Linked DNA regions of Caenorhabditis elegans. The protein of the gene in region 2 purifies or fractionates together with the protein of the main gene of each other region. This does not show direct contact. Each region holds a gene or a part of one and is shown on either strand. Other genes may lie near its edges.

What was found.
Region 1: the proteins of mage-1 (region 2) and cpg-2 fractionate together in Caenorhabditis elegans (co-fractionation; one large-scale study listed by BioGRID). This does not show direct contact.
Region 3: the proteins of mage-1 (region 2) and natc-1 fractionate together in Caenorhabditis elegans (co-fractionation; one large-scale study listed by BioGRID). This does not show direct contact.
Region 4: the proteins of mage-1 (region 2) and T07F12.1 fractionate together in Caenorhabditis elegans (co-fractionation; one large-scale study listed by BioGRID). This does not show direct contact.

Annotation. Positions count from the first base shown.
Region 1 is NC_003281.10:7,100,121-7,107,072, reverse strand, and holds cpg-2 (Chondroitin proteoglycan-2), read left to right. Parts: upstream 1-3,082; 5' UTR 3,083-3,086; coding exon 3,087-3,153; intron 3,154-3,196; coding exon 3,197-3,538; intron 3,539-3,581; coding exon 3,582-4,268; intron 4,269-4,314; coding exon 4,315-4,590; intron 4,591-4,634; coding exon 4,635-4,837; 3' UTR 4,838-4,983; downstream 4,984-6,952. Other genes in the region: ZK418.11 (NR LBD domain-containing protein), read right to left, coding at 5,148-5,392, 5,931-6,591.
Region 2 is NC_003279.8:2,639,038-2,645,481, forward strand, and holds mage-1 (MAGE domain-containing protein), read left to right. Parts: upstream 1-3,686; 5' UTR 3,687-3,702; coding exon 3,703-3,744; intron 3,745-3,789; coding exon 3,790-3,837; intron 3,838-3,885; coding exon 3,886-4,029; intron 4,030-4,090; coding exon 4,091-4,276; intron 4,277-4,324; coding exon 4,325-4,666; 3' UTR 4,667-4,741; downstream 4,742-6,444. Other genes in the region: F40E3.3 (uncharacterized protein), read left to right, coding at 21-103, 169-276; F40E3.5 (Serine/threonine specific protein phosphatases domain-containing protein), read right to left, coding at 6,272-6,361.
Region 3 is NC_003283.11:8,459,380-8,468,054, reverse strand, and holds natc-1 (Protein MAK10 homolog), read right to left. Parts: upstream 5,697-8,675; 5' UTR 5,656-5,696; coding exon 5,586-5,655; intron 5,540-5,585; coding exon 5,400-5,539; intron 5,355-5,399; coding exon 4,162-5,354; intron 4,112-4,161; coding exon 3,888-4,111; intron 3,809-3,887; coding exon 3,590-3,808; intron 3,500-3,589; coding exon 3,205-3,499; intron 3,138-3,204; coding exon 3,015-3,137; intron 2,970-3,014; coding exon 2,834-2,969; 3' UTR 2,486-2,833; downstream 1-2,485. Other genes in the region: mrpl-4 (Large ribosomal subunit protein uL4m), read right to left, coding at 1-160, 212-790; mrps-2 (Small ribosomal subunit protein uS2m), read right to left, coding at 1,029-1,361, 1,667-1,867, 2,065-2,253, 2,298-2,369; dnj-22 (J domain-containing protein), read left to right, coding at 5,948-6,148, 6,194-6,883; T23B12.6 (BTB domain-containing protein), read left to right, coding at 7,640-7,899, 7,956-8,250, 8,301-8,622.
Region 4 is NC_003284.9:4,890,856-4,898,759, forward strand, and holds T07F12.1 (Steroid-phosphate phosphatase), read left to right. Parts: upstream 1-3,199; 5' UTR 3,200-3,205; coding exon 3,206-3,306; intron 3,307-3,350; coding exon 3,351-3,469; intron 3,470-4,470; coding exon 4,471-4,569; intron 4,570-4,632; coding exon 4,633-4,743; intron 4,744-4,786; coding exon 4,787-4,915; intron 4,916-5,043; coding exon 5,044-5,336; 3' UTR 5,337-5,776; downstream 5,777-7,904. Other genes in the region: T07F12.2 (PA domain-containing protein), read left to right, coding at 1-165, 215-308, 999-1,137; T07F12.4 (Protein kinase domain-containing protein), read right to left, coding at 5,905-6,114, 6,238-6,407, 6,455-6,597, 6,806-6,958, 7,020-7,078, 7,126-7,308.

The DNA.
Region 1 (6,952 bases), on a different chromosome or scaffold from region 2:
TCAGTTGTTCACGTGGAATGATTGATTGAGAATCCGATCAATTCTTATTATAATCCTACTAATGGATTGGTATAATCCGATTACAAAACTGACTTTTGTTCGATTCATTGATGTGCTGAAAATGGAAGCTACTAAACACCCGATCGGGAGCACTCAACTTCTGGATGATAAGGGAGAATTGATCAACTGATAATTTGAAAAATTAATCGCTGGAAGCTCAGTTCAAAGTGAAAAAGGGTTTCAGCCAAAAACAGGACTTGCAGCATGGTTTATTTATTTTTTTAAACAAGAATTCTTCCACGACTGGCTCAGTCAGAAAAATGTTTCATTTCTAAAGAATATAATGACTATGTAAACATTTAGAGCACGCCACGTTTGGATTACTGTAGGTGGCAGTTTTCTACCGCTATTATCTTTTTGAAACTCGGGCACACAATTTAGACCCTCGCTTCAGAACATACTATCAGGTTGTCCCATAAGTTTTTGTACTTTTTTTCAAATATTTTTCCAAAACTTCTAGAAAGTTTTAAAATTTTTTCATCGTAGGTCGTGTCAAGGTCGGGTCGTCCCCTTTCAGAAAAGATTCATTTCATCCATTTCTACTTTGCCACGATGACAATCATCAAACTTGAACGTCGAGACGTTAGATTGCTTCTTCTTTATGAATTTCGTCTTGGTCATTCAGCAATGGAAGCGGAACGAAACATATGCGGTGCGATGGGTGAGGGAGCACTCTCTTATAATACAGCAAAGAGTTGGTTTCAAAAGTTCAAGAACGGCGACTTCAGTCTCGAAGAAATAGAACGTTCTGGGCGACCGGTAGAGTTAAATGAAGAAGACCTAGTGAAGCTGGTGGAGGAAGAGCCTCGTCTTAGTCTTCGTGAAATGGAAGAGAAGCTTGAGTGTTGTCATAGCACAATTGCATGTCACTTGGGTCGCCTTGGTTTTACTTCAAAACTTGGAATTTGGGTGCCTCATGAACTTTCGGCATCACAGAAGCTCACTCGGGTCAACGTTTGTACTCAACTTCTAACTTTTCGTCGAAAGTTCGATTGGCTGAACAATCTGGTTACTGGAGATGAGAAGTGGGTGCTCTATGTTAACCGTTCCAGTTAACGTCAATGGCTTCCGATCGGTGAGAAAGGAATACCGACGCCAAAGCCTGATCTTCACCCAAAAAAGATTATGATCTGTGTCTGGTGGGGTGTTCAAGGACCCGTGCACTGGGAATTGTTGCCAACTAATAAAACTATCACTGCTGATTACTATTGTGCCCAATTGGACCGAGTTGCAGAAAAGACCAACGGAAAATATGAAAAACTATATTTTCTTCACGATAATGCTAGGCCTCATGTCGCCAAGAAGACTTTCCAAAAGCTGCAAGATCTTGGTTGGACTGTTTTACCGCATCCACCATATTCTCCAGATCTTGCACCAACCGACTACCATTTGTTCTTGTCTCTCAGTGACTACATGCGCGACAAGCAATTCGACGACGAAGAGCATCTCAAAACTGAACTCTCCACTTTCTTCTCATCGCGTTCGCCGGATTTCTTCTCCCGTGGCATCATGATGTTACCTAGTAAATGGCAACAAGTGGTGGACACTAATGGTGAATACTTGTGTGAATAGTACTACTTGTCGCTTGAGAGAAATAAATTTTTTTCAAAAAAAAAATAGTACAAAAACTTATGGGACAACCTGATATTAAATAGAACTGTATATTGCCACTCCATGTCCCCAAATGATACTGTTATCCAAAGAATGACAGAATGTGCAAAAGTGGTAAATAGTAGCTGGGACGAGTGAGGGGCAAATTGAGCAGTTCGTTCATTCCCAAGCTCATAAAAAGGAAATGCGCACCTGCAGATCTCTGCGCCTCTGAATGGGTACACGGTCTTTATAAGGTGAACCTAATCGAGAGAGAATTTTTATTATAACTTTTTTTGTGTTTTTCGAAATTGAAAATTACTATGAAACGGAAGGAAACTAAGGGGATAAATCGAATGTGAGCATATACAGAGAAACAGAGGAAAACTCTCGATGTGGGTTACTGTATCAAAAAGTATCCAGAAGGTCATCTCTCTCGTCGGCTTACGAAATTTACTTTAAAATTGCGGGGAATTGTCAATTCACATATAATAAAAAGAAATTCGAAAAAAAAACAGTGCAATTTTGCTGAAAACCAGAAAACTACAAAAAAGTGGGCGTGGCCTAGAAGGGCATTTGAGTTTTTTTGAACAATTGAAAAAAAATTAGAAAATATTAAAACTTTTGTAAATTTTTAACAGTAATGTTCGGAGATTGACCTATTTTCTTTAATTTAAAGAAAAAAGCCAAAAAAATAACTCGCTTGTTCAAAATCAGATATGAGCTCCCAAAACTTCTGTGAAGAAATTATAATCAAAAGCTGAAAATATCTGGAATAATTTTATATAGTTATCAATTTTTATTGTCACGCAACATTAGTATACTTTTCACACGAAACGGGTGTTTTTTTTGTGAAAAATGCATGTATTACTTGTTCGCGAAAACTTTTTTTTCAGTGGGGTAATGAAGTCGATTGCTGATAAGAGAAAATTCCTTGGAAGTTTGGACATCTAATTAAAATTAAATATTTAATGTTAATTTTAACAGATTGATGTGAAATTTGAACACCTGAAAGTTAAAAATTGCACTAAAAACAAAAAACAATCAAATTTCAAATTTCGCGCGTCAATTTTTGAAGCGCAAACAAACGCGCTCCAGTGCTCATTTTTCAGTTTTGTAATTTTGAAAACATGATACTAGGCTTGTATTCTTCCTATTTTCTCATATTTTGATCTGTTTTAGCATTTTTTGACCTCCGGCGGGAAAATTCAAATTTTTGTTTTGTTTTGTTTTTATTTGTTTGCCAATGGTTTCGAAATTATCCAGCATTAGTCATTCATTTCATTTGTTTCAGTTGGTTTCTTTGTCATACGATTATTCTTGTGAGAGAATATCGTGCATGCAAAGTAGTTTAGTATTTTCTTTTATTTCTGACACTACCGTTTTTAAAAATTCAACTCTTGTTCTCTTTTCTTAAAGATCTTTATTTCAGGAGGATGAAGACGGTTGCCGCACTCACACTCCTGGCTTTTGCCACAGCTGCCAATGGACAGTTCCTTCAAGGTGCGAGTTTTGTCCAGATGCTTTTTTAACATTGACAATTCAGACTGTACAAACGCTCTCGATGGTCTTTACGCTCTTGGTGAATGCGAACCACAATTTCTGACTTGCTCGGGAGGTATCGCAAGAATCATGGATTGCCCAGCTGATCTCATCTACAACGAGCCACTTCTTATCTGCGACTGGCGCCACAACGTGATTGGTTGCGAAGGATCTGGAGAATCATCTGGTGAGACCTCAGGTGAAGGATCTGGTGAATCTTCCGGTGAGGCGTCTGGAGAAGGATCCGGTGAAGCATCTGGGGAAGGATCCGGCGAAGCATCTGGAGAAGGATCTGGTGAAGCTTCTGGAGAGGGTTCAGGATCCGGAGAGGAGACAGTCGAAAATGGTAAGTTAATTCAAATCATTCATCGATAAAATGTTTTTTTCAGTTTGTGAGAATCTCGAAGACGGGGCCTACTCATCAGGTGGTTGTACCACTTACTACTTCTTCTGTACAACAAACACGGCCCGTTTCCTCAGTTGCCCAACTCCACTCTTCTACGATGCTGATTCTCAGAAGTGCATCTGGAAGTCTCTTGTCGAGGAATGCAAGGAAGACCTGACCATCACCGATGGATCAGGGGAGACTTCTGGTGAAGGATCTGGAGAGGCTTCTGGAGAAGCTTCCGGGGAAGGATCAGGTGAAGCATCTGGAGAATCTTCTGGGCAAGGATCAGGTGAAGCTTCTGGGGAAGGAAGTGGCGAACTCGAGCCAACATGCGAAGGAAAAGCTGACGGAATCCATCCAAATGGAGTTTGCTCAACCAACTTCCTCACTTGCTCTGGTGGAATTGCTCGCATCATGGACTGCCCAGCTTCTCTCGTCTTCAATCCAACAATTCTTGTTTGTGACTGGCCACGGGACGTCGCTGAATGCGCTGGACTTCCAACTCCACAGCCAACATGCGAAGAGGACGGATACTTCTCATTCGGACAATGCTCATCGTCATTCACTGCTTGCACTAACGGCCGTGCCATCGTCATGTTCTGTCCAGCAGGACTCAAGTTCTCCGAGTCTACCGTACGTTGCGACTACGAGTCCAATGTTTCCGAATGCCAAGAGACGTCGGGTGAAGGTACGATCGTTTTTTACAGTTTCAAAATTTTATTATCTTTTTTCAGAATCTGGAGAAGCTTCCGGTGAACAATCTGGAGAAGGATCTGGAGAGGCTTCTGGTGAGGCCTCTGGTGAAAGCTCAGGAGAGGGATCCGGTGTGGAAGAGCAAAATCAATGCGTTGGACTGGACAATGGACTTCATGCTATCGGATGCTCTCCACGTGTTCTCTCTTGCCAGAATGGACACGTTGATATCTTCGAGTGCCCATCCAGCCTGGTTTTCAACGATCAATCTTTGATCTGCGATTACCCACAAACATCGTTGAAATGCCTCATCGAAGGTGAATTTGTCTCATAAATTAGCAACCCTAAATGTTTATTTCAGACACTATTCTCATTGATGAGACTCCAATTGCTGCATTCGACTGTTCCACTGACGGCCTCTTCTCCGATGGCCTTTGCTCTGCCACTTATCATCAGTGCACTGCCGGACAACTCATTAACTTCACTTGTGCCGCGAGCAACGCCGTCTTCTCAGCTGCCAACACCGAGTGCGTCGACTCATCGACCCTGCTTCAATGCCATTAATTGTACCCATTTTTTTTACAAAATTACACACTAATTGACTAACCCCGTGAAAAACTATTGCCCCCATAGAGGCCCCATATTATTGTAAACTTGCCTGTATATATTGCATTTTTCATATTGAGAAATGAAACTGCCTGACTAGAACTCTGAATCTTAATTTTTTGGCTTTCATGAGATGCTGGGTGATTACTGTAGATGATCTTTTATTACTCGAGGAAAAGTTTGAGGGTTGAATGAATAACAATGCAAGTTTGAAAAGGGGTGGGTACCCACGTGGGATAGTTTTAGATGAAAAAGTGCCACTCTAGCTTTAGAGAGATTCTTTGACAAGCTTTCTCAATGGCAAAGTGGGTTGGTTCAATTGGAATAATGTAAACAGTTGTGCAAGATCTTCTATTGTTTTCTCGATCAGCTGACTCAGAAATATAATATTTAAGTATCTTATTCGTCCGTGTTTTTGAAAACGGAAGTTACAGTTAATACCAAGTGTAGACAGGTAGATGCTCAGATACTCCTCAATAATTCGTTTCGCAGAGGAACCAACAAGCATAGAAGCTGAAAAATATTGACGTTTATGGTTAAATACAGAGTACTAGTTGTAAGGGTAATTTATTTATTAGATTACTGCGTTTTTTTCACTTCTACGACTTTAAAGGGGACGCTTTTATGCGGAATAGTCTCGACACGCTCCTACACTTTTACACTTATACTGTATTTATTATATTTATTAGGATATCGCCACGAATATCAGGTGTGTGCCTTTAAAGAGGTACTGTAATTTCAACCGTTTATTGCTGCGGAGTTTTTATTGATTTTGTATTGTTTTCTAGAAAATATTTTCTTTCCCTTTTGTTAAAGTGTATATGTTTTTATTGTTAGATTTGAGTTTTCAAAAACATATTTTTATTGTAAAAATAGGAAAAATCTATGAAAATTCTGCAGCATCAAAAGTTTGAAATTACAATACTCTAAAGACACACACCGTTTTGAATTTTATACAAAATTTGTCGTAACGAGACCAGACATAGTTTATTTGGCACAAAATCGGAATATTTCGTGTCTGAATAATATTGAAAAGTGTTATGTAACTTACATATTTGACAGAAATACGTAATAACCATCAATAAAAACTCCTCGGTTGTGATTCGAAGTTCAATAAACTTTGAAATAAGACGGCATCGTATTCTATTCAAAAGATCAAGAGGATATTGATCGGAAATCTCTTCGGGAAAAACATCCACTTTTCCAGGAAAAACCATAAATTCTTTTTTATCGAAATAAGATCGTCCAGCCATAAATACAATTGATAATGTGAAAAACGAATGTTTCAAAATAAGATTGGCTTCATCAGCATTGAGCATTTTGACAAAATGTATTCTTTTCATGAATTCGAGAGTGGTAAAAGCCTCAATTGCGACCCAATCATGAGAAGTGAAGACGACATCCATTTCCTTTTTACATAATTTTACCAATTTTGGATCGAGCATTTCTTCAAAATTTAAATCAGCAGTCACATGGCATGTATAAAATATTTTCTGACGTTCGGCATCTGATGACATTAAATCTTGAATAAGTTTAAATTTGTTTGAGTATATATCAAAAGATGCAATTCTCATATTGGCATTAATACACTCATAAAATTTTCTTCTCGGGCATTTCTGTTTGAACTCAGCAATCAAACATCTTTGTGGGCATTCTCCAGGATTACACGATTTTGGTGGTTTTTTGGAGTTTACTGCTCGACGGAAAACCATTTTGCATGGATTACAACTGCTAGCCTGCAATAATAATATACATGTAAAAACACTTATGTGTATATTTAAATTGGATGTCGTAAATTAGATAACTTACGCCATAGCTGAATTGGGGTTGTGATGTTTTACAAACCAGACAATATTTTACTTCTTCTTGAGCAGACGACATTAATGATATCGGAATGTGAAATCTGAAGTGTGAAAAATAAGATTCAAATTCACAAAAAGGGAGAAACACAAATCACATGTCATTTGATTTATTTCATGAAATCAGAATAAAAATCAGTGAAAAGGATATAATAAAATAGACGGGATTATAGTCGATAAGTCATGCTTTTTTTGAGAATCATGTCTCGTTCTG
Region 2 (6,444 bases):
TTTAAATTAAAACATTTCAGATATTTCATCACCACCAACATCTTCATCCACTTCTTCGCCTGAAACGACGGGATTTTCCACAAAAATCGGATTTTTTCTCTTGGTCAGTCAGATTTATGTATATTTCCGAAATTTCGCCCCCTAGGTTTTTAAATTGAAAATTTTCAGATAGTCCACCTCCACCGCCTTCTTCATCCACTTCTTCGTCTCGAACTCCTAGATTTTGCAGAAAAGGGCGACGCCACCCCACTGCACAAATTGCTTCCGTTCTCTTAATAACTTTGTTAATATTTAGTTTTTTAAAAGTTTAATTTATACATAAGTGAATAATATTAATAATAAATTGTCTTTCCAATTTATAAACGTATTATATTGTCTTCTCTTTGTACTGATGGTGTGTAGAGTTCAGCTGTGTTCCGAATCCTGAAAAAAAAAAGTTACGGATACTTCCAAATCGACTTGATTATTGTCTTTTTCATTTCCGAGATCGTAAGGGGTGGCCCTTATAATATTTTGGAGTTAACTGTGCTTTTTTGGAATATGAAAAAAAAAACGGTATTTTTTTTCGAGAATTTATTTTTAATATTTTTTCAACTTTTTTGGTTAAAAATTGTCTTCCAAAATTTGCAAATTCAGTGCGAAACGATCGATTTTCCATATAAGAATATTAGGAGGCAAGAAAAACTAAATTTGAATGCGCGCGCAAAAGGTGTTCAACAGGGCGCATTTGCTCTCCGAGCTTTCCGGGCGCCACGGTAGCACAGAAACTAGATCTCTCGTAAAATTTGAGAAAGATCTCGCAGGTACGCAGCGAAATGGTCCGCAATGTGTCTCGCGGTGTTTGCGTACTTGCGTACCGTAGTCCGCAAAACATTGCAGCGGCAAATAGATTTTTGAAGCAAATTTTAGCAGAAAAAAGGCAGAATTACTAGTTTAAAGTGAATAAAATTAAAAAAAAAAGATTTTATTATTAAATTTATCAACTAACAATTCAAAATTAATGTATTAAAACACAGAAAAGTTGATTTTGAACAGAAAAACGGAGTAATCATTTAAAAAGACAATATTAAAGTGAAAAAACACGCAAATCGATTGAAAAAACGAATTTAATATGTGGAATCGGCCTTCTTTTTCGCTTTTCGGCTGCAAGTTGGAATTTTTCTTGGGAAAAACTTTCGAAAATGAGGAAATCAGTGGGAACTTCTTAATTTCCTCGACTCCTGGTGAACTTTTTGTGTTAAATCCATCGAAATTGTGCGGAATAGCTCATTGACAAGGTTTCAATCTGCAATTTGATGAAATTCTATATTTTTAAATTATTTTAATCACAACAAACCTGAGGAAATCCCGAATTCGATCCTTTCGATAAAATCCAGAGATGTCACTTTGCCACTTTTCCAAAATGAAGGAAACCATGTGGAGCTTCTCAGCTTTTTGAGTTCCTGGCCGAAATCATGATGAAAAACTATCGAAATTGACTTGAGCAGCTTCTTGGCAAGGTTTTTGTCTGAAATTTTAAGATTTTAATGATTTTTGAACGTTTTTAACACAACGAACCAAAGGAAATCCTGAATTTCACATTTCTGACTGTTTCCTGGGATGTTACATCGGCAGTTTTCCAAAATGAAGGACATCATGTAGAGCATCTCCACTTATTGAAATTCTGGTGAAGTTCTTGCCGACAAATCCATCGACATTACGTTGAACGTCTTCTAGGCAAGGTGTTTATCTGAAAATTCATGATTTCATGTACTTCCATTTTTTGAAAACTTAAAAAAATTTTACCAGGAATATGAGAAAGTGCTATTTTTATTGATTTTTTTTCTCAATTTAAATGTTTAGAACACAATTTCAGATAAAATTGAGGCACAGTGAAACTCTTTTGTTCAAAAAACGCATTCACTTCTAGAGCCTATATCTCCGCGGAAAAAAATTTTATGACAAAGTGATCAACTACGAAGTTGTTCATCTTAATGTAAAGAACAACTATGTAGTTGAACATTTTTTACCAAAAAAATTGGTGACCAAAATATGACCATGAAAAGAGCAATAGAAAATATGCATGTAGTTGCCGTATTTCACCCACTCTTATCTCAGCCACCAAATTTTTTGGTGGAAAATGTTCAACTACATAGTTGTTCTTTACATTAAGATGAACAACTTCGTAGTTGATCACTTTGTCATAAAAATTTTTTCCGCGAAGATATAGGCTCTAGAAGTTAATGGGGTATTTTGAATGTAGGAGTTCTACTGCACCATAATTTCTCACTTGATGCTGTTTTTAGTGCATCCGAACAGAGGAAACAACAAAGTTTGCCTTTTTCTGAAACATCTAAGCAGTTTTTGAAAAGTTTTCGAAAAAAAAAAGAATTTCCGTTTTTTGAGATTTAATTTTCAGTGAAAAAAATTTACTTTTGGAAAATTTCAAGTGAAAAATGTACGATTCGTGTATATGTTTGCCTTTATCTTGTAGAGAATTTTTAGCTGATTCTAATTCGGCAATAAAAATATAACATTTTGTGATCGTTTTCGAAAAAAAAATCTTTTTCTTTATTTTTAGTGCAAAATTTTAGTTTCGATAATTTTTCTATGAAGAATGTACGATTTCTAGAAAATTCTGCCTGTATCTTGCTCAAAATTAACAGTTCTTTCTTTTTAAAGCAAAAAATTAACACATTTTGTGATTTTTTGGCAAAAAAAATTATTTTATAATTTCTTATTTCAAAAAATTTTTTTTCGAAAAAATCTTAATGAAAAATTAAGATTTCTCTATGAATTTAGTTCCATCTTATACAAAATTTAATGCTGATCATAAAACAACTATAAAATGTGAAGACTTTTTGATTTTCTTGAAAAATGGAACGTTTTTAAAAACTGTTTTCAGTGAAAAAAATTTACTTTTGAAAAATTGTGAAAATTGAAAAATTGTGAATAAGTGAAATATGTACGATCTCTCAATAATTTTGTCTTCATCTTGTAGAGAATTGTTAGCTGTTTCTGATTCGGCAAGAAAAATACAACATTTTGTGATCGTTTTCGAAAAAAAAAATTTTTTTCTTAATTTTTAGTGCAAAATTTTAGTTTCGAAAAAAAATTTATGAAGAAGGTACGATTTCTAGAAAATTCTGCTCGTATCTTGTTCAGAATTTTTAGCTCTTTCTTTTTCATACCAAAAAATAAAATATTTTGTGATTTTTTAAGAGAACTCGTCAAAAAACTCACTTAATTCGTTTTCCTTGCCGCCCACTTCGACGTTCCTTTGTTTTTCTCGAATTTTTTCGCTTACTACTTGAAACAAGACACACTCTTTTGATTTTACAAAAAAAAATTACAAAAAAGATACGGAAAAACGGTTAAAATCGGCAAAAAACGGAGAGAATCGATGCCGAGCGAAAGGCTTGAAATTTAAACGATTGTTCGCAATAGAGCGTGTTTACCGCCATCTAGCGACTGAACCACCGTGGGGCGCATTAATTTGAAGTCTGTAAAAACAATTTGAACAAATTGTTTTTTTTTGTTTTCTCAATTTTGAAACATTTTCGTTTAAAAACGTTTTCTTTTTATCAAAATTCATTTTTCTCGTTGTTCTTGAAATAAAATAGATTCTTTTTTATGGTGCAAGCTCGACAATAAATGCGTCTTTTGAATTCAACGATCTAACATAACTTTCATGAAGGAAATTTCAGCTTTTAAAGGACAACGATGAGCGGCAGCGACGATGATGCGACACAAATATCTCGAGAGGTAAGCTTATTTATGAAATATGCCGCAAATATCGTCCAATTTCAGGATGAAGAGCTCGCTTACGAAATCTATTTTTGGATTGTTCGCTGCATTGTAAGTCGTTCACACAGACGAAAAAGAGCATATTTGAGTGAATTTCAGTGTGAGAAAGGAGTTGTCAAGATCAGCGAGCTTCGTAAAATCTACCAGTCGACCGTCGTCAAGGATAGATCAGTTCAGTTCAGACCTCTGCCGGGAGTCTTGAAAGCTGTCAATGAGAATTTGCTGCATTGGCAGGGATGGAATGTAAGATTTCATAGTTTTTCACTGCTTATTTTTAATTTATTTCAATCTTCTAAATCTTCAGGCAGTCATCCAAGACGATCGCCTCACATATGTGAATGTGAATGGAGATGCACCGAATGAAGTGAGAGCAAGTGAGACCGAGAGAACATTGGGACTTCTCAAGAATGTGTTGATGTATGTTTTTGTGGCGACGAAGCCTCAATCGAAACATCCAGGAGTTGCTCAAGAAGATCTGATGTCTTATATGGTAGAAGTTTATTGATACAAAATATTTATAAATTTAAGAACTTTTCAGGAAGCTTCAATGTCAACACACTCTGATCGGAAACTTTCCCTGGATCATATGGAATTCCTGAAGAAATTAATCGCTCCAAACGCTCGTTCCGAGTTCATCAAAAAGGGATATCTCGCATTTACGAAATCTGTGAACGAGAACGACGAAGAAGTGTTCCGATACGAATGGGGACCGGCTGCTCGTCAAACTGTCGACCCACTTGCACTCGTTCAAACCTTCCAACAATTGACAGGAATGAAACCGGAAATGCTGAAAGAGCAAACTGAAAGAGCCAATGAATTGAAGGCTGAGCAAGTGGCTGCTGTTACTCGGGGCGGTGTGCTCAGGACTAGAGGACAGTAGGACGGATCCAATAAAAGAAACCATAACATTGATCTCCTAGTATCTTTTTTTTATGAATAAAAACATTAGATTTGCCGCATTTTTCATTCAGTAATCAATTCTCTGTCGGAAAGTGACAATTCTTGTGTCATTTTAGAGTTCTCAACGAAATGCCTGCAATTTTTTTTGGAATTCTAAAAATTTAATCTGAAAATTCGAATTGCGCAGCATATTTGACGCGCAAAATATCTCGCAGCGAAAACTACAGTAATTCTTTAAATGACTACAAGCGTCTAGACGCAGATTTCTCAACTGATTTTGCATGGTTAGGAGTGACGTCACAGTTTTCTGGGCCAAAAATTCACGCATTTTTTGTAGATCATTTTTTGTGTCAAAACATTGTAGGGGTCGGAACATGCTACTTTGGATTTTCTCAGAAGCACATAGTTTTCAAAATTTTTGGAAACTTGCCATGACTTTAACCGGAAATTATGAAACATCTAAAATTTTTGGAGTGTTTTATTATGATATTCGGTCGTCTTGGCGCATATATTGTCCAAGAATCTATGCAAAGAAAGAAACGAATTTGCGGAAGTTCAAATTACCGACTCAAGAGTTCTGCCGAAATCAAAACGTCGTCCGTCTTCAGTGGATCCCCTGGCGTCACAGTTCCTGAATTATTCGTTCAAAAAGGCAGTGGAAACAACGACCATTAGAACAGGGGTGTGCGGCAAATTTGCCGAATTTGCCGAATTTGCCGTTTGCCGAGCTCGGCAAATTTGCCGAATTTGCCGAGCACGGCAAATTTCAAAAAAGTAGATTTGCCGAATTTGCCGAGCCCGGCAAATTTCGAAATTTGCCGCACACGTCAAAAATTTGACAGTACAATTTTGACTAAAACTATTGATTTTTTAGCCAAAAAATTAGTGAAATGGCACAAAATTGAGCTATTTTGATGCTTAAACAGACATACTACGCGGAACTTATTCAGAAACCAGATGTGTGTTAAGAATTCAGTAGTTTTGGTGCTCCAAAAAACATAAAAAATTTCAAATTTTTCCGAGTTTGTTAAGCACGGCAAATATTGAAAAAAGAGATTTGCCGAATTTGCCGAGTTCGGCAAACTTTGAGATTTGCCGCACACCCCTGCATTAGAAGACATGTCACATTGTGATATATGACTTTTATTGCTGTTTTTATTTCAATTTTATGTACTATTAAAAACCGATAACCGAAAGTATATATTGCCCACAGTTTTTCTTAATATTCATTCAATATTCCTGTGATAATGACCGTACTTCTTACAATCATTCGTCTTACTTTCCTGCTCTTTGTGACATGCCTAGTAAGTTATGATAGCCTCTCAATTTCCAGAAATTCGTACTTAAAAACGCGCAGATTTATTGATTTATTCGAACGGGTCTCGCCGCAAAAAAAAACGACCAAAAAGTACTGTCAGACTTTCCTCGCTGCGAGACCCATCCAAAAAAAATCGTGCGCTTTTAAATATGAGTTTCCCATAATATTACGACAGGTTGTCGCTCTGGCCGACGATACACCTGGATGCATCGATCACAACGGAGTTAAATTCTGTTAAACATTTATTTTTAAAATAAAGTTCGAGTATTAAGAAACTGCATTTCTTCCCATTCCAGGCTTGACCAGCTCCAGCGACAGTTGCTCGCCTTCTTCCATTTTGTAGCGGATCACTTTTCCCTGAAAGAACAAAGTTACTGTATATCTACATTAGTCCTACAGTACTCACTAAAACTACTGTAGAACATTTTTGTGCCTGCTCA
Region 3 (8,675 bases), on a different chromosome or scaffold from region 2:
CAATAGTATCGTATTTCATTAATGAGAAGCAATTCAGACCATACACTGGCATCACATTGAGCCACGGAAGAGCTTGTTGAGCTTCAGCAAGTCCACCGCTAATCTCATCACAATCATCAACGAAAAGAACAGAGTATCCGTAGTTTCGAGCTTCGCAAAGCTGGAATTTTTGAAATTAAAACAGAAAATGATTTTTCTATAGATAACTTACATCAATCCAATATTTAGGGTCTCCATTCTGTAAGTTTTGAATTTTGTCAACAATATGCAAATCGTCTTGTGTGTGCTTTAGAGTGAGAGCAACACAAAGTCCCTGAATTCTGACTGCGTCTGGAAGCATGTAGAACCACGTTCTCGGTCCACGAACACCATTTGCGAAACCTCCTCGAATAAATTGTGGGGAACGAATAGAACCAACGTGAGCCCGTCCAGTCTTCTTTTGAGGCCACGGCTTTCTACCCCCTCCGGGCATTTCAGCTTTTGTCAACATTTTCGTCATTTGCACATTTCGATATACACTTTGCCACGTGAGGTTACGGTGTAGAATATCGATACGCGGTGATGTTCTGAAAATGTCTGGATGGAGATCCACGAGTCCGAGCTTCTCATCTTCGATGGTATCCAAATTTGAAACCCAAGCTTGTGGAGTTTTGATGAATGGATTTTCTGGTTTTCGCCATAATTCTCTTCGTGTATCGATGGATTCGCCAGATGAAGTCGAGGAAACATCCTGAACAGCCGATGAGAATGCTCGACTTGAAATTAAAAAACGCAGCTGCCTGGAGAGCATCTGAAAAGGGATAAGGTGTATAAATAATTTTAAAAAACCAAAAAAAAAGAAAGATATGTTCTAACACTGTTCGTTTACAGTAGTGATTCAAAATTACGATTTGAAAGCAATATTTTGATTTTTTAAATAGGTAAACAACTGGATATTTAGAAAATGAAGAAACAATCAGAAAACAAGGAAAACAAAAGATCTAATCAAAAATTTTGAAATCTTGAAACTAAATACTAAAAATTAAAATTTATTTTCCTTGCTGCTGACGTTTTCGTTCTTCTTGTCCTTTTCGAACGGCTTCCTTGAACATTCTGAGCAAATATTCAGTGGATTGTGGTGTATCATCGTTTGCAGGAACCAAATATGTCAAGTAAGCCGGATCCGAATTCGAGTCAACTACTCCAATTGTGGGAATCGCCATTTTTGCGGCTTCAACGATGGCTGGATGGTTTTCGCCGAGTGATGTGAGGGTTGACAGGAAGCAGACAGCATCTGGAAGTCGAACTGAAGCTCCGAGAAGTTGTCGAGTGTTCGTTAGAGTTCCTGATTGCCACTTTCGAACGTGAGAGTATTGCCCAACCTGGAAAATAACACCTTTTCAAATTTTTTTTTGTAAAATTTTTTTGCTTGATTTTTAAAGATTACTGTTTAAAAGACATACATTTTTACAGTAACATTCACAACTAGAAAACAATGGTGAATATTTTCTGAATAAAAAAAAACAGCTCAGGATCGCAAATTCCGCAGAAACAAATAATCTCGCAAGATTATTAATTATCGGATCAAAGTATGTTCACATCACTGCTGTTATGAAAACTCGAACCATGAATCATTTTCCAATAGATTGGTGTTCTCACCCCTACACCACCATGCACACTGTCTCACCTCATCTGCTGCCTTCTCAACATCAAACATGGTGTCTCGATTGGAAGTGACAAAAAGAATCATTCCACCGCGCAATGACACATGAGCAACGAAATTTAGAGCTCTGACGAGATATTTTTTGGTAATATCGAGGTCGAAGAGGCAAACTCCAAGACGTTCACCGTACAGGGCCCACTTCATATTGTTGTTTACTGTTCCGACCTAAAAAAAATTATATTAGTTGTTAATTCAACTTCTCAAGCTTAAAATAAATTTTAAAAAATGCGAAAAAATCCCGAAGTTTTTTTCGTAATTTTCCAGTGCAATTTTCGAAGAAAAGAAAATTGGGAAATCGACTTTTAAACGTATTTCATTCATTTTTTTTAACAGTTAGAACCGCCTTTCTTTAAATAGACTACCTTATGTCCGTAGTGAAGTCTTGCTTTAAACATCTCATCGATATGGACCATTTTTTCAAAATTAAATAAATCTTCATGTTGAAGTGACGCGGAAACGAATGGCTTCAACACTGTTGGCTGGACTGTTCCTTTTTCAAGAGTTGCACGATCCGGAACAGACGACGATGATGAAGTAGATGCAACTGGTTTCTGGAAACAAAGAATTCTAAATTATATTTTTGGTAAATGGTTACCTGCTGCGACGCGGAAAATCGTGTCGAGAAGGCTCTTTCTGTACGGATTGCAGCTGCTACAACTCGTCTCATCTGGAAATTCGTGTTGAAAGAAAACATGGTAAGTAACTAGTAAGTTAGAAAATAAGTAATAATCAATTTGGATACAGAAACCAAAGAATCGATAATTCAAAGATATTTTGCAAACTGAAAACAAACAAGTTCATAGAAGCATAAAATTTGATTTGAAATGTATTTCGATATCTCTGAGAACAATGTGAATGTACTGTACCAACCGAGAAAATTCGTGTGCTATGAAAGGAAAGAAGACGGGGAGGCGGGGTTCACTAGTCTGAATTACTCAATCAATAAAATATGAAAACAAAAATCGAAATATGAATAATTATTTAGCTGATTATATAAAATACATGAAAGAAAAACACGGGGGACTTATGGCATTCTATTGAGATGATTCTTGAATATTTCTGAATCTACTGATGGATTGTGACTGTTGGAGAGATCGCAGCAATAATTGGCAAACAAGAGTAGAGTTGTCATCACTTTTTGCTAATTTTTAGACATGGAAACATTGGAATCTCTTCTGAAAACGACCAAACGACATTTCTGTCCGTCAAATCAAGTTTCAGAACTCTGCAAGCAATAATGTTCGATTTCGCCACGTGGATCAATTGCCTGGAAATAAGAAGATTTTTAAACGACCAAACAGCATCAACCAACATCATTTCGCGATTTTGCTCCACAGAGTTATCGATTTTTTCGAGATGTTCACGTGCTTCATTGAAACTTTTCTGAGCTTGATCGATCAGTGTCTCAATCTTGTCTTCATACATTTGGTCAATTCTGAAATGCGAATAATTATTTGTATACCCATAAAATGACATTTTTTAAAAACGCAGTAAACGCTTACCCCGAATCACTTTTAAAACGTTCGTAATCCACACGAACTGGAGGCCCAAGTGAGTCGAATGGTTCGAATCGTCTTTCGAATCTTAGTTTTTCAGCATCATCTCCACCCTTCGGCATCTTGATGATTCCTTTACGAATCAGAACAACTGTCAGTCTCACAACTCCATCAGAAATCATTGAAATTGCGATTTGATTGAGAACACTGAATTGATGAGCAGCGACACGACGTTTCAACTCTTCTCCAAGTTTACATCTCTCTTCCCACAGTTTTTTGTTTTTAGTCTCTCTCAGTGGATCTGGAAAGTGCATAACAGAAAACGGCTTCATGTCTTTGTTCAATAAATTTTTTGAACCCTAACTGTAACAATTTGATGGTTTTCACTAACTTGCTTGATAAACGTTCAGCTGAATTTCTTGACTCCGTTCCAAAGTTGTTCTCATCCAATGTGCTTGAACTGAACCAATAAACCAGTAAATGTATGGGAACTCGTAAGGAACGTAAAGGTCCATTCGAAATCCAAGTTCGAAATAATGGTTAATGATTGCAAGAAGATTGTGAAACACAAATGTAGCCACTGAGTGATATGAGTAGTTCTGCTCTTTTGCTGCAATGATTTATTTGTGGAATTACTGGGAATTTAGAATAATTTTTAACATAATTTTTTTAATTTTAAATTATCTTACCAGTAACCATTTTTCCGCTAAGCAATACTTCATCAGTTCGCTCTTCCAGTCGTCCAGCATATGAATGGATTTGACCAAGATCTTCAATGGCCATCTCAAGACGATCTCTTTGACGGGATAAATTGCATCCAAAACTACCATAGACGGTGATTGCGAGTTTTGACATGTGATTCAAAAATAACACATATAGACTTTGAGCAGTTTGATCTTTGTAAACAGGAGATCTGAAATAATGAGATAAGTTCGTGATGTATTCTTGTTGAGAAGTACTCACACTCTATCAAGAATTTGTGGGCAGAAGCAGTTGCTCAGTGAGTATTCAACGGCGTCAGCAATTGATCGATTCTCATCACCACACAGATGGTTGTCGACTGGGAACATGCAAATTTGAAGAAGAGATCTGGTGAAGACGCATGCATTCTGACCGAAAGTTCTCGCAAAGTAGAACAAATAGTTCAAATCTTTTGAAGTTTTTGGAGTGACAATGCATAGGTGATATATTCTTTCAGCACACTTCACCCACCAATCAGCAGCTTCTTGTCTTGATGGAACCTTGATTTTTCGAGGGAAGCATGCCGGGATCATTCGTATACAAGTTTTTGGTTCATATGCGCCAAGCCATAGGTAGTCACCATCACCATCAATATTGTCGGGTGCTCTTCTTCCTAATTTAACTGTTTCCGCATAAGCCTTTGTGACCTTGCACAGTCTTTCAGCCAAAATCGAGGCGAATCCAAAATTGGGCTTGAATTGTTTCATATCATCTTCATCTTCGTCGTCGCCTACATTTTCATCATCATTTTGATCAGTTTCATCTGTTGCTTCATCATTACTTTTCTGTTCTTTCTTCTCTGTGGTTTCCGATTTTGCTTCACTTGAAGGCGTTGGATCAGACGTGGATTCTTCTGATTTTTCGTCAGAATTCTCTTCGGCTCCTTCATATTCTTTTTCGTGAACATAGAAATCCCCCAGATGAACTTTGTGATCGAAGTTAGGATCTTCAATTTCTGGTGCAACCAATAAGCCAATAATTTCCAAAAGCATAATAAACATTTCAAGACGGGATGCAACAGCACAGCAAATATCGTACGCCTGTTTACTGAATGCTGACTCTCTCCACTTTCTTCCAGTAGTACCGAGCAATGTAACCTGTTCTCGCATAAGCTGAACGACGACTCTGCGAGGAGCCCATCTCTGATGACTGAAGAGCATTTGTGGATTGAAATCTTCGGGTAACTCTTCTAGGTTACCAACACTGTTGATAAGTGCATGAGCATTTCGAATGAAAAGATTGACGCCGGATGCGAATGGGTGGAAAACGGGATGTTTAACAAAAGTCACATTTGAAAGCAGCACGTTTGTCCAGACTGTCGATCCAAGTGCACTTCCTTCGAGCCAAGCGACAACCATCGCTAACGTACTATCCATAATTGCAAGTTGAAAAGGATAATCGTCGGCGTAGAGTCCCTGAAATTATTGACTTAGTTTCGATAATGAAATTTGACAAAATACCCCACTAATCGCTTCTTTCAATGTTTTAATGTGTTTTGATCCTACTCCAACGTCCATTTTCGGTTCTCCCAGTTCAATTGCTGACATGACATCTGAGAGCCGAAAATGCTCTGTGGTTACCAGTTCGCCCAATCGCAAGCCTTAACGTTTTGAGAAAAATTATAATATCCAACCTATAGAAATTACCATCGCAAAGTTTAAAAAACGTTTTGGAAACGTCTTCGCTTTCGTTTGGAGATTCCATTGCACCAGGCATTGGACCCGTAAAGCTGAATATTAGAAAACTTTGAAGAAATCTGAGAAATGTTAAAAAATTAAGAACAATGTCTGATAATGGGATTTACGGTAAACAACATGCACCTCGTTATTTTGGAGTGTCGTAACAGAGCAAACGCGCTCTATGGACAATTTTAAAAAACATTTATTTTCGAAAGAATTGAAACAATTTTTTGTCTTTTTCTAACTTTTCAGCTCTTTCTGGATTTTTTCTATGATATTTATATTTTTCCCGTTTCAAATTCGAAATAATAGTTTTTTTAAGGTTCAAAATGCCACTCAAGCCCGGTGCAAATCCCTACAAAATTCTCCATCTCGAAAAGGGATGCACAGACAAAGAAATTCAGAAGGCATATCGTGCACAGTGTCTTAAATGGCATCCGGACAAAAATTTGGATAATAAAGAAGAAGCCGAACGTAGATTCATTGAAGCCAAAGAAGCATTCGATTTTTTATATGATAAAGAGAAACGAGTACGTTTTTACTGTCGCTGGTCAATGTAATACTTTATTTTTCAGGAAGAATATGATAATCGAGAAGAGAGAATTCGAATGGCTCAGGAACACCATAGTAAACGAATGGCTGAAGCAGATGGAAAAAGGAAAAAGTTAATTGAAGATTTAGAAAAAAGAGAAAAGGAGTTTTCCAATGGTGGAAAACGGTCAGCAGATGGATCAACTCCAATGACAGCAGCACAACAAGCTAAAAAGAAGAAAACCGATCAAAGAAACTTTAAAGAAGAAATTGAAGCAATTCGGAGGCAGTTGGAGAAAGAAGTCAACGAAGAGGTGAAACAGAAGGCAACATTGATGAAAACAGAAAGGGAAAAGCATCAGAAAAGTCAAGAAAAATTAACTCCTCGATTACTTTTGAAATGGAAAACATCAGAAGGATTAGACTATTCTGAAGACGATATTCGAAAATTATTTTCGACTTTTGGAATCATATCTCACATATCTTCGGCAATAGAGAAAAAAGATCGACGGAAACGAATCCTCGAATTTGAGTCGGGAGCAAATGCATGGGGAGCTGAACTTGAAACTGGGAATGCTCCGATGCCTGAAATTACGTGTGAATGGTTACAACCACCGGTGGAAACTGTGAAGAAAGCTTCGGATGAGCCAGTAAAATCAACTAATACGGGTGCCAACAATTTGGAGCACATGTCTTTGGACGATCTCGAAGCACAAATTATGGGTGGATTCTAATATTTTCATGTTTTTGTTTATTTTTATATAATTATAAAAATAAAACTTAGCTTATTTATATTTATCTTCAAACACTTTTCGATTGGTTTTTCGTGTAAGTTCCAATGTATTTTTCTATTGAACATAAACCTCGGTTTTCCCATTTGCGACTCATTAAACACAAAAGATTGCCGATATTAAGAGACGCAGACGTGAAGAAAGTGTGTCACGACGCTCCACAATCCCTCACCCGACAACCTCATTTCGTTTCGATTTTATCTCGAACTTTATTTCTGAACATTTAGAAGCTTCCACGCTTTCAAATGGCATGTAAATACTAAACGATTTCCAATTAAATTGGTTAATGAATCTGTTTTGAAAATGAAATGCTATGAAGAATTTCAAATGTTTTTTCCCAAAATAAAATTTTTAGATTAAAAAAGTTTATCATAATTTCAGAAGATTCTGACATGCCCTCTTAAAGGCACATGAATTTATTCAGATGGGTTTCTGCGCGCAAAAAAGTTTATGGTAATTTCTTTTCCATAAATCAGACTATTTACCTCATCAAACCCCAAAATATAGTTTTTTTTCAATTTCATTCAATTTACCGTTTATCAACAGATCATAGGTTAAAAATTGCCAATCACCTGTCAGTCCACCCATTCTCGTCCATTTCCCGTCATTATCATTGTTCCATAATCACCCGTTTCCCCCAGTTTTTCTTGTCTTTTCCTATCAACATTTACCATATGTTTAATTTTTATTTACAGAAAGATGGCACATCAACCGTGTTCATCGTCATCTTTCTCAAATGATTCGGGGTCAGACTACATTGTAAATTTGAACGTTGGCGGGAGGATATTTGCTACAAGTTGCAACACGCTCACCTGGATTCCGGATTCATTTTTCACTAGTCTGTTGAGCGGTCGAATGAATAGTGTTAAAGATCCGAGTGGTGCCATTTTTATTGATAGAGATCCTGACTTGTTTCGAGTTATTTTGAACTATTTGAGAACGAAACAAGTTGATTTATGGTAAGCGGTTTTTCTAAATGACCAAACTTTCCAATACTAAATTGCTTTATTTTCAGTGGTATAAAAGTCGACACTTTGAAACATGAAGCTCTTTTCTTCGGACTAACTCCACTAATCCGCCGTCTAACTTTATGTGAAGAACTGAGTTCAACTTCATGTGGATCTGTGTACTTTTGTGGAATGATCCCACCACCTGATATGCCTCTTGAAAACTTACCAAATGAGAAAAGTCGCTCACCTATGTATTCTAATTCTTCTGAAACATCGACAAATAATTCCAAGAATAAATCAAACGGGTCGCCCAGACATCGTGGACATTCCAAAAAACAGTCAACGGATATGAGTAGATATGTAGGCTTAGTTTTAATTCTAATTAAATATTTCAATTTTTAAATTTTCAGATAAAAAATGAGCTATCTGAGCTAGCAAAGTCGAAAAGTCAACCAGACCGCGACACGGATCCAATGAAAGTTCGAATGATTCGAGCACATATATGTTCAATTGTTGTAGCATATTCCTACTTTGTATGTGTATATAGAGTTACTGAATGGAATACATATGTTCTATTGTGGAAATCTCCAAGAGCACGTACCTATGTATCACACATTGCGGTCAATACTAAGATCGCAGCTACAGTTGCGGAACGATTAGTCGCAGTTTCTTTTCAAGATGATACAATAGGATTGTGGCATATCGATGATGAAGGAAAAACCGAGAAAAAAGGTTTTTGTTTAGTATTCTATCGTAACGGAACATATTTAGAAATATCAAAATTT
Region 4 (7,904 bases), on a different chromosome or scaffold from region 2:
TGGTCCTCGCCGATCCCGTCCACGGATGTGAGGCTCTGCGCAATGAGATCTTTGCCCCTTCAGTCATTCTCATGGAGCGAGGAGAATGCTCTTTCACCGTAAAAGCACTCAATGGAGAAAAAGCTGGAGCCACCGTCATAATGGTCACCGACTCACAGAACTACGGTACACTCCTTGATTATAAAACCATAAATACAACTTTAATGAATTTCAGAATACAGTTATCATCAGTACTACGTCAATATGATACCTGACGAGTCTTTGGATCGTGCCAACGTCCCATGTGTCTATGTTGCACCAGTGACAGGGTATTACAATTTTGTTTCGCTTTTCAAAAGTTCAACTAGTGAAATTGCTAAGCTTAAAAGCAAGTAAATATAATTTTGGACAAAAATTATATGTTTCTCTGGATTTTTAAGTTTTTTCAAGCTGTTTAAAGCGGTATAACTTGGAAACCGATATTGCTCGCAAAATATTGCCAACTAAAAACTCACAATGGCAATTTTTGATCATTTTCTGTGTTGTTTGTTTTATCAACATCACTCTGGAAAAAGTCATGGTGGCTAACATCTCATGGACCTGCTTTTGATTAGATCTGATTTTTTCGACAAATAACTCAAGTTTCATGGTATAGACCAACAACAAATCTAGTTTAAAATAGACCGGCGGTATTGATTTGAACAAATTCAACAAATCGAAAATGTTTAGCTTTCAGAATTTTGAGATTTTTAGATTTGACGCAACATTTCATAAAATTAGCGCACACATTGATTCGTAAAATTCTTTCTGAAATCTAGAGTAATTTGAATTTGTTTAAGTGTTTTGGTCTCGCATCTCTGATCCACAAGATTTCATTCGCTATAACCTTTACCAGAAAAAAAATTGATGAACGTTTATAACAAGGGAAGTGTATAAAAATTATAAGTACTATTCTTTGGTTGAAAATGTTCTGTTACCTGCACTAGGCTCTGTGAAGAACAATTTATATCATTTTTCAGACGCTACTTCCGTGACCACCTCGAAGAGGGAGGAACCATCAAGTTGGACATTCCAGTCGAGAGGAACTATGCACCATGGGTTCATCACCAGAAGAAGGCTCCATGGGAGATTTGGCCAGATGAGGACCATTACTTCTAAATGAATCCTCTCAAAGCTTTAATAGTGACAGTTCAATTATCATTTCGGTTCTTTCTAATTTTGTGTTGTGATTTCCGACGTTTTGCCTACGGTGTCCCCATTCTGTCTCAGCTTTCCTCATTTACATGTCATTTTTGCATATTCTTTTTTTTATTTTTTTTTCTTCACATCAAAAATCTGGTTGTAACCTAATATTAATATTTCGTTATTTCTCTTTCACATACTTATCCTCCCGAGACATTGGATTCCGTATCGCCCACGGGTTATTCCTCCCCATTGGTTTTTCCCATTCCCGTTGTCTATGACAAAGTTGCCATTACAATGAATTTTTCAATATGTATGTTTTGAAATGGTGTAGATATGAGAAAATGGAACACCAGTGTCCTATGCTCTTTTCACTTTTTGTCATTTGTCAAATGCGGTGTGGCTATGGAGCACCACAAGCACTAGAGAAAGTTTTTAATTCTTTAGGCAAATAAAACTCAGCAAGTCGACCGCTTTCATTGTCTTTTTCTTCCGTTTCCTCTCACTGCTTTATATATCCATCATCCATAGTTAGTGACATAGAAAACGGTTTTTGACAATGAGTCACCGAGATTTCAAATCGTATTTCTTTTAACAGTGCTGCATTGGGATTTTACTTTAGTTTTTTTTAGTTATGTTAGTTGTTTTCTGAGTTTTTTTTAATTTCTATGTGAAACGGGCTTTGCAAATTTTTCAGACGCTTTTCTGGAAAACCTGATTTTGCCCTAAAGCCCTAAAATTTGATTCTTTTTGCGTTTGTTGATAATATTTTTAACTGAACAAAAGTCGGAAAATTTCACAAATTTTGAATTAACGCACACAGTATTAAAAAAAAAATTACAAAGTTATTAGAGCTCAAAACGCTGAATTACCAAGACAGTGCGCTAATTATTACGAGAATTCATATATAAGGAAAAAATACGGAAATAAAAGTTAATTGTGTTCCCATCTGATAACTTTTACTTTTCTTGAATAGTTTACATTTTTAAAATAGTTATTTTCGACAGAGTAAAAATAATTTCCCACTTAAATATTTTTTTTCAAAGTTTGCCTTGCTCAGCATTCATAAATAGATAAAAATTGCGCAACTTTTTCGCAAACGAAATAGGTTGAAGATATTAGTTGCACCCTATATAATTTTTGTGAAAGAAAAGTTTCGTAAAACCTTATTTAATTAATTAATTTAAAAAACATTTCCAATCAAATAATAATTAAACTTGCCAAAAATATTCAGATTTTTCAAACTTGTCGTGAAAGTTTTGGTAAATTTGGCTTTTTAAAAAAATTTTTAGAATCCAAACTTTCTGAATGCAAATAAAACTTTGTCAAAAATATTTTGATAACTATTTGCTCATTTTAGTACTATAAAACGGTTTTCTTTGCGTTTAACATGTTGAAATTTTGTGATTTTGCGAAATAAACAACTCAAAAAATAATTTCTAAAAACTAGTCAATTCAAAATATTTCCCACATTGGCACTTCCATCAAAAAAATGTCTTTTGAATTTGACTCAATTATGTTGCGCTCGTTAGATTTCGGTTTCTGTTCAACACACACCATTTTTCCATTTTAGCGAGGTCAAACCAATTTTTCGTTTCAAAAATTTTGATGCTTTTACTTTTACTACTACGTTTTATTTTGTGACAGACAGTTGCAAAGTGGAAAAATATGTCTCTTATCACTCGTTTTTGATTGCGCTATTATATGTAGGTTTAAATTCTATTGTTCACAATTAGAGCGTGCGACGGATTTTTATTGATCGACCTTGAGGTTCTGTCAATTGTTTGAATTGTGTCTTATACTGGTTGTAGAATTTGCTTGTGAAAGTTATTGGCACGCATCCAAATTCAGGTTCGATTCCACTGTTTTCTCCGTCTTTCTTTCTCTACGTTTCTTCAGCAATCATCACTCTCTAGGCGCTTGCGCATCTCTATTTCTGTTGTTTCTCCTATCGTATTTCTCTTTTCAATTTCATTTCATTTCATTTTGCATATGAATAATATTATATAAATATACTTTTCCATTTCGTTTGTATTCCAGATAAATGCCCGAGCGGAGAGTGTTCATTATCCGTCATGGTGAAAGATGTGATTTTGCATTTGGCAAGTCAGGACTTTGGATCAATTCATTTGACAGCAGAGGAAGGTAAACGTTATTTTAAGCATTCTAGAACAAGTTTAAGTCTGTAGATATCGCCCGCTTGACATCAATCTTCCCCGAACTCTTCCAAAACGTGCCGATGGATGGCAAGGTTTTGCTGCCGACACCCCGTTGACTGAAATTGGTTATCTTCAATCAAAATTGACAGGTAAACTGAAAATTTGCAATTTATTTGCAAAAATAACAATTACAATTTTCAAGTTTATTTCAATAATTTAGATAGATTATTTTTTGAATTTCATAACAAATTAAGTTGTTTGAAATTAAACCAGTTGCCAGTTGGAAAATTGTTTAGAGCCATAGCAATTTGATTTAGGCTGTTTAAGAAATCTTTGAAATTTCCTGAAAAATCAAAAAAAAACCAGCAATTTCCAAAATGACCAATTTTTGAAAAACAATTACTGAAAGTATGCAATTTTTACATTTTTAGTTTTTATAAGATCTCGAAGAGTTTTCCGAAAAAAGTGATTAACAAATAACTACAATTGCGAATTATGCCAAATTCAATTTTTTAAGTTTCGAAAAATTTCGGCAATTTCGGCAGCTAAAATTTTTGACCGCGTACCTTTTGTTTCACAGTTATCATAGTTCTGAAATTCAACTTTAAAAACATGTTTCTGCAAATTTTATATTCCAATGCAGTTTCATTAAATGTGCATTTTTATTCGAACTTATACAAAACGTCATTTCATTTGAATTTTGGCTATTGTCTTGTACAGAAAAATGTTGAAAAATATGGAATTTGTTTAAGAGCTTTAGTTGGTTATATTGAATAATTATAAGAACTATTAAAAAACAAATCATTATTAAATGCTCAAAAACACAGTTAAAATTTGAAAAACTTGAATTTATTTTTACATATGTTATTCGAGAAAGTTTAGGTATTTTTTTGAAAATGTATTTCAATTCGCACAACGTTTAAATAAAAATAATTATAAAAACATTTAAAATTACAAATTTATGAAAGATTTTATAAATCGTAAAAACAAGAGCTTATACTGTTCTTTGGTTTCTTTTCCACATCATTTCTAATACTGTACTGTATTTTAAATAGTTTTTTTTTTCAAAAAATAACTTTATTTTCAGTCAGAATTTGTCTAAACTATTATCTATTATGTTCTTCATCAACAAGACCTATTAATTTTTCAGGACGAGCATTACGTGACAATGGAATCGAAATCAACCATGTTTTCTGTTCCCCGGCTTTGAGGTGCATCCAAACAACAGTTGGTCTATTGAAGGGAATGGGTACGTCATGTTTCGATGTTTCCCGCAAGACAACTGACATCACTTAAAATAAACATGTTCTAGGTCTTGACAAGCGAATTCAGTTTTCCGTTGAACCTGGGCTTTATGAGTGGATGGTATTTGCAAGGTACGCAAGACCATGCTGGATTCCGCCAAAAGATTTGAAAAAGCTTGGTACGTATGCTCGGCGTTTAATTCCAATACTAAAAATGTTCAGGCTACCCTGTACAAGAAAACTATGTACCATGTTGGACGGATAAGGAGCTTCGAATGAATGAAACCTTAGCAGATTTCTATCAAAGATCGTTTGGTTCTATAAACAAAATTTTGTCGGAATGCACAGAAGGTGATTTCTTTTCTCAACTTTTTGACACTAGTGATCAATGTGTATTTCTCGTGATTTTCCTGTCTATCACCCTATGAACTTTCTAGCTTCTACATCTCATAAAACGTCACGTTAAATGTATATTCCAGGAAACATTCTCATTGTGGCTCATGGTGCATCACTCGAAACATGCACTCGGCAGCTGGTCGGCGGTGATATCAGATCAACTGACGATTTCTACTACCTACTTCAAAACACACCATACTTGTCGTGTGTAGAAGTGAACTCTCGAGAAGGATTATGGAGACTAGTGGGCAGCCCGATTCCGTCGTTTTCACACACGTACAATCGCACTTTTGATCCATTGCAGCTCGTCACAAAAGATTTGGCCTCGCTGAAAAGAGAACGAGAGGGAAAAGACAATATGAGGACCACTCAATAATCTTTTTGATAATTTGTAAGCCGAATTAATTTTTCTACGGTTCTGAATGCTAACATTTTTGGCGGGAGTTCTTTATTCGAATTTATGTAAATTGAAAGTCTTTAACTTTGAGCCTAACTTTTTATTGCCAGTGGGAATATTTTTCAAGTTTGCTTTTATAATGCTAAAATCTTTTTTAAAAAATATTTGAAATGACTCGATGTGGAAAATTTGAAAATTTACCATAATTTTGTCTGAAAATTTTTTGAAGATGTGTTATAATATTTAGTCAGTTTGGTCTATGGTCTCAACTGACGGTTCTCCGGCCTTTGATTAGTTTGGTTTTTCTTCAGTTTATCACCGACGTTGTTCATGATCTCAACTTTCTCCTGTTTTTTTATTCGATTCATATTCAAATTGTTATACTTTCAACTAATAAATCATTTTATTCGACAATCAATTAACATTCTGTGAACTTCGAAACCCGAAATTTGTTTTCTCTTTTCAAATATATTTCAATGATAGATCTACTTGTAGAGATATGAGATAACTCTTTGTAATGGTTAAACATTTAAAAAAAAAGGATCGGCTAACATATTTGTTGACTCCAGTTGATTGCTTTGTCATAAAACTGAGTAGGTGTGCATCTTTGAGTGGTATCGAGCTGCAGCAGTGATTGAATAATCCCCGAAACCTCTTGACTCAGCTCGTCGGGCAGCTCAGGCGGGTCGTAGGCGTCGAAGTTAGCCCCTGCCACATACAGGAAGAGCTTACACAAACTGCACTCATCGAATGGGACCTGCAAAAGAAAAATTGTGAATATGAAGTTATCTACGTCATTCTTCCACTTCAACTGCGAAGCCCCTGGGGAGTTATTTGCGTTTTTGTTCTTGGAAAAACTTTAGGGTTCGGAAGGACTAACCTCTCCTGTAACGCATTGGTAGAGAAGGCATCCGATGCTCCACATATCAACTTTTGAGTCATACTGACAAGTTTTTAAAAGGTTCGCTCCAACTTCTGGAGCCATGTAATAAAATGTACCCGCAACGTTGCACAGCTCTTCTCCCTCGTTATCAAGGGTTCTCGAAATTCCTGAAACAAGAAATGAATTAAATTACGTAATGAGTTCCAAAACACACCAAAGTCTGTGATCCGAGCACAAGCAATTTGTTTCGATGCATCTGTATAAGTGATCAGTATGTTTTGGGGTTTAATGTCCCGATGTACAATTTTCAACTCATAAAGCGCTTTGTATCCTCGGGCAATGTTGTCAAGAAGAAGCCTGAAGTGATTTCTGTTTGAAAGTTGTAAAAAAGTTTTGAGGAAGACATGCTGAAACTTCCTTATCCTAGCCCTCTTCCCTAGTTCCTGTTCCGTATTCTCTACTATTTACTTGAATCAAAACATGTTTGTGTGTTCCCCCCCCCCCCCCCCCCGTTCCCCAATCTGTAATGCAAAGAAAAGAAATGCGAGAATTCCAAATTCCTTACCTGAAATTCGACGGATTCAATCTTCCTTTGACCGAAATATTGCGCATGTGATGGTCAAGATCACAATCGCAGAGTTCCATTATTAAACAGCAGAAAAAGTCGTCGAAATTGCAAATGTCTAGTACTCCGACTAGATATTCACTGTTGAGTTCTCTGAAAAATCTTATAGTAGAAAGTTTCCAACAAAATTAAGAGATACAAAACTAAAACTTACTTGATCATTTTCAATTCGCTCTCCTTCACGTGCACTTTGAGCATCCTTTTTATGGCAATCTGAAATAATACTCCTCATATAACAAACGGGATATAACGTTTTTTACCGAATTGCTAGAATCCTTCAAGCTCCCCTTGAACACTGCTCCAAATGCTCCCATCCCAATCATGGCGTCCACTGAATCCATATACTCGTATTTTTCATCTAATATAATTTGCTTGTTGGTGAAGTCGGGCATCAAAAATGCACTGGCCGTTGAGGAACGATGAGAGGCGCAATGAATAACCATCTGCAAAAAAAAAATGTGAATTATTTTATTGAGCCGGACACTTGGTATTGTCTGGTGCAAAAACAACGTCATCAAATTTAATGAGAGAAAGATGGAATTATGAATAAAGGAGAGAGGATGCATCAATTAATAAGACACAATTACTTTGCAGTAAAGCTTTATGAAAAAAGCATTGTTTTGAAATACGCAATATTCCCTCCCGTCTCCCCCTTGAGAATCGTCAGAGTCATGAAAAATGCAAAACGTTTGGAATTTTAGAGAACTCGAAATCCAAACAAACTTCCGCCTACCAATTTTCCATCGAGATGATGGAAATAGAAGAAACCAAAATGTGTGCAAATGGGAAAAAAAGTAAACACAGATGAGGTCAGCTTAACGTTTTTAAATAAAGCAAAGCACCCAACAGAGACAGAAAAAAACAGAAGAAATGTTTGTTGAGAGTAGAAAAGAGAGCAAAAAGGAAAGGAAACGAGTAGGAGGAGGTGCGTAAAAATGCCAAAAAACAATAGAACATGTTTCATATTGTGTTTGAAACATATTTTTACATTCACCTTTCAGTGTTTTAAAGTGACGAATTCGATAAAGAATAAAAACTT